2 linked regions of the Ovis aries genome follow. The protein of the gene in region 2 interacts with the protein of the main gene of each other region in a biochemical or structural test. Links are inferred from orthologs where the notes say so. Each region holds a gene or a part of one and is shown on either strand. Other genes may lie near its edges. The genes, in order: YWHAB and ZFP36.

Evidence for each region.
Region 1: the proteins of ZFP36 (region 2) and YWHAB form a complex in vitro, tested with the Homo sapiens proteins (2 studies listed by BioGRID). The link is inferred for Ovis aries from reciprocal best matches to the Homo sapiens genes ZFP36 and YWHAB.

The regions. Positions count from the first base shown.
Region 1 is NC_056066.1:73,240,519-73,244,836, forward strand, and holds the start of YWHAB (14-3-3 protein beta/alpha), read left to right. Parts: upstream 1-1,273; 5' UTR 1,274-1,455; intron 1,456-4,318. UniProt on the Homo sapiens protein: Adapter protein implicated in the regulation of a large spectrum of both general and specialized signaling pathways. Binds to a large number of partners, usually by recognition of a phosphoserine or phosphothreonine motif.
Region 2 is NC_056067.1:48,457,433-48,461,460, reverse strand, and holds ZFP36 (mRNA decay activator protein ZFP36), read right to left. Parts: upstream 2,573-4,028; coding exon 2,549-2,572; intron 1,699-2,548; coding exon 745-1,698; downstream 1-744. UniProt on the Homo sapiens protein: Zinc-finger RNA-binding protein that destabilizes several cytoplasmic AU-rich element (ARE)-containing mRNA transcripts by promoting their poly(A) tail removal or deadenylation, and hence provide a mechanism for attenuating protein synthesis.

The sequences.
Region 1 (4,318 bases), on a different chromosome or scaffold from region 2:
AAGATGAGGGCAGCTTCTGGAGAACCTTGACTGTCACATTCAAGGAGCTTATCGATTGTCTTCAAGGTCTGAGTGATCACCGAACATATTAAGAAAGAAGAGGCACCAGTTAGAACGGGGTTTTTCAACAATCACTTTGGCAGTTGATGGGAGCAGGTCTGAGGGAAGGACGATGCATTAGAAGTTGATCAAAACCTAAGTAAAGTTAAAGGAGAAATGACAAGGACTATTTACTTTGTTCTGTCTCCTACCAGCCTGTAAACTCCAACACAGCAGGGCCCCTTCTGCCTTGTTCTTGCTTTGTTTCCAACATCCAACATAAAGCCTGCTTAATAAGTATTTGCTGAAAGAATGAATGATGGGGGTGGGGTGGGGTGGGGGGAGTAGAGGTGAGGCATTTTGAAGAACTGCCTTGGGAAGTGCTTAATGTTGATAAAGGGTGAGAGCAGTCATGAGGAGTAGGAGGCAGAGAAGGCCTGGTTCCTTTCGTTAAACTTCCTTTAAGATCTTGAGTAGAGAGTATTCGGGAATCCCTGATAGCTCAGTTGGTAAAGAATCTGCCTGCAATACAGGAGACCCTATTCCTGGGTCAGGAAGATCCCCTGGAGAAGGGAAAGGCTACCCACTCCAGTATTCTGGCCTGGAGAATTCCATGGGCTGTATGTATAGCCTGTGGGGTCGCAAAGAGTCGGACACCACTGAGCGATCATCGGCAGTCTGATTCCCGGTTTCCTCAGTCCATAAAATGACGTACCTTGAAGGACGGAAGGGAGGACTAAAGAAAACTCTATGGATGAGCAATTGCAGTCCTTCCCTAAATCTAGTATTTCCAGAGCACGCAGCAATAGGGGGCTGACTTGCACCTCCGATCCCGTGACGACTCCTTTCGGGGAGGGGTGGGAACCAACGACCTCGGACACTGGGCCTGGCCCCGGCGAGCTCCGAGCCTAAGCCTCAGGCCCGCCAAGCCCCAAGCCTCGCCCAGTGCCCCCAGTTTCCACACAGCCCCTTTCTAGAGCCCTCTCAGCCCCGCCTGCACTCCGCCCACCTCCTTCTTCCGCTCCCCCCTCCATTTCCGTACCCCCCCGCCCAAGCCCGCCTCCTCCGTGCTCCCGGGCCAGACCCCCGCCGCGCCCCGCCCCGGCCGCGGCACCCCTGCCCTCCGCTCTCCTCCCTCCTCTTTCGGGCGGCGCCCCTCTTGGGCGGCCGGGGCGACCCCGTGCCCCGCTCGCCCAATGAAGAGGCGGCGCAGGGGCGGGGCTCGAGCCGGAGCGGAAGTGGTGACCGGAGCGGAAGTGGAGCCGCCGCAGCCGCCGATTCCGGAGCCGGGGTAGCTGCCGCCGCCGCCTCTGCAGCCGCCGCCGCCGCCGCCGGAGGAGTGGGATTGGGGAGGAAGCGGTCACTGCGCCCGGAGCTCTGCTCGCAAGGTTCTCTGCCCCCTGCAGTCCTCCCACGGTGAGTGCGGCGCGGGGTCCGCCCGAGGCCCCCAGGGGCCCGAGCCCACGGCTCCCCCATCACTGGCAGCGGCGGCGGCGGCGGCGAGGGCGACCTCCCGGGTGGGCTTCGGGGGCGGCGGCGCGCGGCCTTCTCGGCCCCGCGAGGCCGCCCGCTGCGCGGGCTCTGCCTCACCGCGGCCCCTCCCTGTTTCCGGGGCCGGGCCCGTCGTTCTGGGAGAGGCCCGGGCCACCCTCGCCGCCCGCGGCCCTGCCCGGCGGGCGGGGTGCGGCTCCCCATACCAGGCGGGAACGGACGAGGAGTCGCGGACTCCCGACTCTTCCTCACGACCCAGCCTCGATCCCCGCGCGACCTTTCCCTGCACCTTGAGCGGCCAGATCGTACCCTTTCAGCTCGGTCACCCTCGTTCCTCGCTTTCCGGTTTTCAAAAATGAAAATGTAACCAAATGCAGGCGAGCTTTCAGGCCCAATTCCTCTGTTCGTTACCCGCACCCCCCGCCCCCCGGGATGGGTAACAGGTTTAACCTTGGGAGAGAGCAAAGGGAAAACCCCCCTCCCACTTTGCAGTAAAGCCATTTCATCATCATTCGCTGGTTTGGGAGCCTGGCAGGACCCGAGATTCCCTAGGAGGCACAGGGTTGAGATTTGTATCAAGAAAATGCATTTGCTGGAACTGGTTACTGAGTCAGGCCGGATCCCCAGGAAAAAAAATAAAATGTCTGAGGCTCAGAATTGGAATATTTTCCCAACGGCATTTACCGTCATTTAATGCCAGAGTCATTGTGTCCTCGCCCCAAATTCCCCATACTGTGTGTTAACGCGACTTTAGGACTGAAATTTGCCTGGTGGCCTCCCTGGTGGTGGCGAAGGGGTGGGAGTAATTAAGACCCTTTTCTGCACAGAATGAGTGCATCTTTGTCTATTGCAAATGGAGAACTCTGCGTGTAATGGGGCTTTGAAAGGTGGCAGTATTGGTAAGACAGGTTGCCAACCTTTCTGTAAAATTTTTGTCTCTTGTCCTTGCCATCACTGCTTTTCCCTTTAGTAAGGCTAGATCGCATCAGGTTCTGATTTTACTTGCCCTGTGTGGGAGAGAGGATTTGGCAAGATTCTATTATGAACATAGAACATCAGGCGGCCACGGGAGCCAGAACAGAAAGATGAAGCACTTGGAAGAATATGAAAAATTGTCTGCATTTCTCAGTCTATCTCAATTGTTCATATGAAACCACACACACACGCAGCTTACAGAACTAGACACATGGGTACTCTGCTTTTTGCCTTTTCATGTTAGAAATTTATGTATTAATATGTGTTCTTGATTCTTGGTCATTTCCTTCTTGACTGCTTCCAGGGCACTCCATTTCTTGTTTAGGAATGTGTCAGTTGCCTGAGCCCTCATTTTTAGCACACATGGTGAGCATGAAACCTGGCATTGTGCTGGACCCAAGTTAGAATTTTCCAGGTGATCTTCATGGTGGAAAGCTAATCCAGTAGCCACTGCTGAACTGTTTCTCTGTTACCTCCTTTCAGTGAGATAAGAAACCCTTCACCTGTCTTACAGATGAAATCCTTCAGAGAAAGGAGATGATTTGGCCTAGACCACACACCTGGTTTCCAAGTTGAATATCCTCCTTCATCAGTAGCAAATATTTATGGCCTGTCAGTCCCAGGAGTGTGGCTCCTACCCTATAATCTTCTGTACATTTCCCATCAGGCAGTGCTTGTGTTAGGTTGGAGCCATTTTAGAATCAGAGCTCTATAGATTGGGGAGGCAGCCTCCAGAGAGCCAGGCTGAGCACATTCCCATAATGCTAGTTCTTGAGGCAGAGTCTCCGGAGATTTGGGCCGCTGCAAAAAGTGTATTTTGCCCGGCTGTGGGTGTGAAGCAGGAGGAGCACTGGACTCGGAGTCAGGTAAATTCGATTCCACCCTTCCTTGCAGCATTTTCTAGTTGTGGGATCTTCAGTGTTCTGCTTAATCTCTGGTTCCTGGTTTCTCTATCTCCAGGTTTGTCAAGAGACCTTTTTACAAACTGTAAACTGTTAAATATAAGCTTTTGTGTTTTAATCACAGAGTTCACTGTTAAGGGCTTTTCCCCCCTTGGTTGCATTCTGATGAGACCCAATGTTACTTTGTATACATGTTGCTTTAAAAAAAAAAAAAACTGGTATGGTATTATGGAACTGCATTGTGGACCAATTTTCTCATTGGTCAGTGCACACGGTAGTAGTCTTTGATGTATTATTGTGACAAACTCAGTAATTAAAATAAGGGTGTGAAATCTACCTGATGTTTAATAAATGTTATTTGACTATATTTGTGAGTATACATATATATAGATAAGACACATGCATATGTGCTATAATGCATAGGCACATAGAGAGTCCATCCAATGTTTATTCATCAACTGATGAGGTGGTATCAAGCTGTAATAGTAATAATAGCTGTTGTTTATATGTGCCAAGCTTTGTTCTGAGCACTCTACACGTATTAACTAAGTCTTCATAACAACCTATGACAGGTAAGTACTGCTAGCCCCGTTTTAGTTGAGGAAACTGAGGCACAGAGAAGTTAAATAATTTCCCTGGAGGCATACACACACGCAGCACTGGGTCAGTGCCAGAGCCAGGAATCAAACCCAGGCAGTCTGGCTCTAATGATAGATTTCTACTTGTGGTAGAAACAGCACATGTTTATCTTTCATGTGAACACCATGTAGTAGTTAATTTTTCTTTACATGTATCTTCTTCAAGTAAATGTGTTTGGATGAGAATTTTAGCTACTTTTGGAAATATAGTTTATTGCAGGGTGGGGGGAGTATATTTATTGTGGAATGCAGGGAAGATAACTGCTGGTGTGC
Region 2 (4,028 bases):
CTAAAAAAGGCCACACCGTCCACCCCTCCCATCTTACTGCCTCAAGACCGCACAACAGCCGGGATTCCAATTTACACACAGATTTATTTAAAAATTCCAGAAAACCACAAAAATAAATTTTTAACAATATATATTACTTAATATATTATAGTGTATACTTATAACAATAATTATTTCATCGTTTCCAATATTACAAAAAGAGGAAGAAAAATACAAGGGAAGCAGACGACCCAATATATATAAATACTATAAAATCTATTAGAATAAATAAAGTCGTCATAAATAAAGGGCCCAAAGGCGGGGGTGGGAGAGCCGGGCGTTGGCAATGGCTTTGGCTACTTGCTTTTGGAGGGAAGTTTGAGCACCAGGATTCCCTTTCAGGTGAGGCTCCAATCACGACACTGGAGCCCCAGGATCTAGGAAGTAACTGGAAGAGGGCATTGGGGGCTTATTATTCACAGCATTGGGCAGGGGTGAAGTTGAAGAGGCTTACTACCTCCCTCAAACTTGCTACATTTTTTTTAAAAGACCCCATAAAACACTCCTTCCCAAACAGCCTGCACGCTGAGGACCTGCCCCAGCGCGGGGGTCAGGGGAGTGAGTTAATGCACTTTGGAAGGTGGGGAGAACTACATGATTACGAGTCCCTCAGTTCCCTACAGCCCCGGGACCCCTTGTGGAACCCACGCACAAGAAAAATGGCCCCCCTTAAGATCCAGCTGATCTGTACTAGGCAGGCACTTGTCACTCCGAAACGGAGATACGATTGAAGATGGGAAGTCGCCGAGGGGCGGCAGGTGGCTGAGGTGGCCCAAAAACCCCAGCCTCAAAGACAGGTGAGTCGGATCCCCCCAGGCTGCTGCCGCTGCTGGCATATTCGTCGGGATCAGATCCCAGGGAGTGTGCAGAAGGGCTCCGAGCTAGGCCACCCACAGGCCCCCAGACGCTGTTGGGGGTGGCCCTTCGGCAGGAAGGGCAACAGGCTGGGGTGGGGTCCCTTCGGGACACAGGTGTCCCGGGGGCAGCAGAGAAAGCAGAGGGTGAAAGTGGAAGGTCCCCGGGTGGCGGTGGTGGGGAGCTGGAGGGCGAGAAGGACCATGAGGGCACGGAAGGGCCTGCTAAGCTTGCTGGTGGTGGCGAGGTTCGGCGGCCCGAGGGCAGCCCTGAGAAACTGATGCTCTGGCGCAGCACATGGGGATGGCCGGGGGCAGCCAGGTCCTCGCTGGGGTTGTGGATGAAGTGGCAGCGCGAACCGTAGGGGCAGCGACCCTGGAGGTAGAACTTGTGGCAGAGCTCCGTCTTATACTTGGGGTGGCGACTGGGCTGGCGCAGCTCACCCAGGCCATGGGCAAACTGGCACTTGGCCCCATAGCGGCAGCGCCCGCTTTCTGAGAAGGTCCGACATAGTTCAGTCTTGTAGCGGGATGAGGTGGTGGGAGTCGCGGTAGGCGAGGTGGGTGAGGGCGACAGCTCCGAGCTGGGTCGAGGAGCCAGGGGCGCAAAGCCTGGGGGTGGGGGCACCCAGCCGCAGCTGCGACCCTCCACCAGGCTGGTGGAGCGGCCAGGCAGGCGGGCAGCGGCCTCAGGCAGGCTGGAGTCGGATGAGCTGAGGCTCCAGGGTCCCGAGGAAGCCCAGCTGGTGCTGGACTCAGTCTCTCCGAGGTCGGATGGCAGTTCAGGGCTCAGCGACAGGAGGCTCTGTGGAAACAACGATCGGTTAAGACACCGAAAATACAGGGTGACGCCCCGCCCCAGCTGCAGGGCAACCAAGGGCTTGCCAGTCCGGTTTGTGGGCTCCCGGCCTCAGCCCCACCCGCCCTAAGGGAAAAAAAAAAAAAAAACAAACCTCGGGTTCCGGATCTCAGGGATCCCGATTTGGAGGTTTATTCGCGATTTAAGCTCATCCCGAGGGACCCACTAATCTCGGCTCCCCCGGCTGGATCAGAGGGGCCCTAAAGTCAGGACAGACTGCTGTTCTCCAATTTTTTAAGCCTCTGGGCCTCTCGGGATCTGACCCCACTCATCGGTTTCTCCAATTTCACAAGTGGAACAGCGGGCAAAATTAAGCCAGGAGTCCGGATCTCTTCGGGTTTAGAATTCCAAGATCCTCTGGGGCAGGGAGCGAAGAGACAGAAGTCAGCTCCCGCTCACCCTGAGACTCCAGCCCCAGAAACGCCTCCGCGCAAAACCGCGCCCTCAGCAACTACTCGGGTAATCCAGGTGTGGGGGCCATTTCCGCCTCCAGACAGCCCCGGTCTGAGAAAAGTTCTCCAGCTTTCCATCTCCGAGGGCCACCCCACTCGTGTTGGGGCCGAGATCAGAAAGCCACAGGCTCCATTTTCATCCCCAGAGGATCACACTGATCTGATCCGGGAGGCAGGAACCCCGGGCCGGTGTGAAGCGCTAAGGAGTTCCAGTTTGAGAAGGGAAACCGGTGCGGGGAGGGCTGGTCCGGGGCAGGAATTTGTTTGCGGCCCTAGAAAGCCCTGGTTTGAGAAGGGAGTCAGGTGTTGCGGACGTCGGGGTGCCGATCGGTTGGGGGGCTCACCTTGTAGATGGCGGCGAGATCCATGGCGGCGCAGATGGCCGAAGGATGTAGAGCCGACGGAAAGTGGGAGCGCTGAAGTCACGCTGCGGTGGAGTGGAAGAGCCGCCACTTTTATTCGACCAGAGGGGAGGCGGGGCCAAGGGGAGTTGGCCCCGGGAGGGCGGGGCGAGGAGGGGCGCTTCCCGGACGCGCGCCCCCAGCGCAGCACTGCCGGCCCGAGTTCGGAGCCCTTCCGCCTGGATCCCGGCCCGAATTCGCCTGAGCGGGGCCCGCGGGCGGTCGCGACCCCGCGGGGAGTGCGTGAGGTGGGGGGTGGGGGTGTCGGCCCAGTTTTCAAGGCTGGAGACTGAGGCGCGGAGAAGGGAACCGGGACGGAGGTGGGGGCAGGGCTCCCGGGGGAATTGACAAGGGCAGAGGCGGAGAGGGCGTGCGCGCGCGACACTGATCGACAGGGGCGGGGAGAGGCGAACCGAGAGCAAGAGAGAAATGGAGGGACGCAAAGAGAAAAACATGGGGGCACACACACACACGGGGGGAGCTACGCACACAGGGAGACATGCACAGAGCGGGGGAGACAGGGTGAGGAGAGGAGGGGAGGTGGGAAGGCAGAGCTTGAAAAGAGACGTAGACAGTCCCCAAAGAGACAAATTCAGAGCGAGAAGCGGGAGGGAGGGAGAGTCGTACAAATAGAGAAGGGGCGAAAACTGGAAGAAACAAACATCCACAGACAGAAATCCGCAGGAGCAAAACAGTGAGAGAAGAGCCTCCCCAATCCTGGACGGTCTTGCTCCCGAACTGCCCAGATCCTGAGACCTGGACCGCCCTCTTTGCTCCCATTCACGAGGATTGGGGGTGAGGTGGGGTCCCACACACCTGGTGAGGTTGGAAAGGGGCCTCATTTCCCAAATACAGGACCGCTGTGTCCTCTCACCCTCACACAAATAATGGCGCTTCTGATGGCTTCCTCTGGGCTAGGCACAATTGCAGAAAGTGTCTTACATACATTAACCCAAGGAGGTATTATGCCCATTTTAAACACAGGGAAACCCAGGCATGAAGAGGCCAAGTTATTGTTAGTGAATGGCATTAGCTTAATACCAGGGCCTTAAATCATATTAAAGGGAGTTTGCACTCAAGAAAACTCAAGATTGGAAAGGGGGAGATCTTTTATTATGATGGAGGGTTTCTTTGCTGGAAAGCTGTCTCAAATGGAAGAAATGGATCATCCCCAACTGATGGTCGGATGGGACTCTCATAAAGGGATGTGCCTTGAAAGAACTCTGCGTTTGCAGAAATCACTCCCCTCATTGACAAGTCTTTTATTGTAAAGGAGTTGCCCTGAGTGATGCTCTCTTAAGATATGGTAAAAACACTAATTTTTAAAGGGGGTCTCCAGAGCTGGCTGCCCTGACTGAAAATACGGTGGTAGAAATAAATCATTGCCACGGAGTGCAGTTATTATGGTGGAAAGTTCATTCTT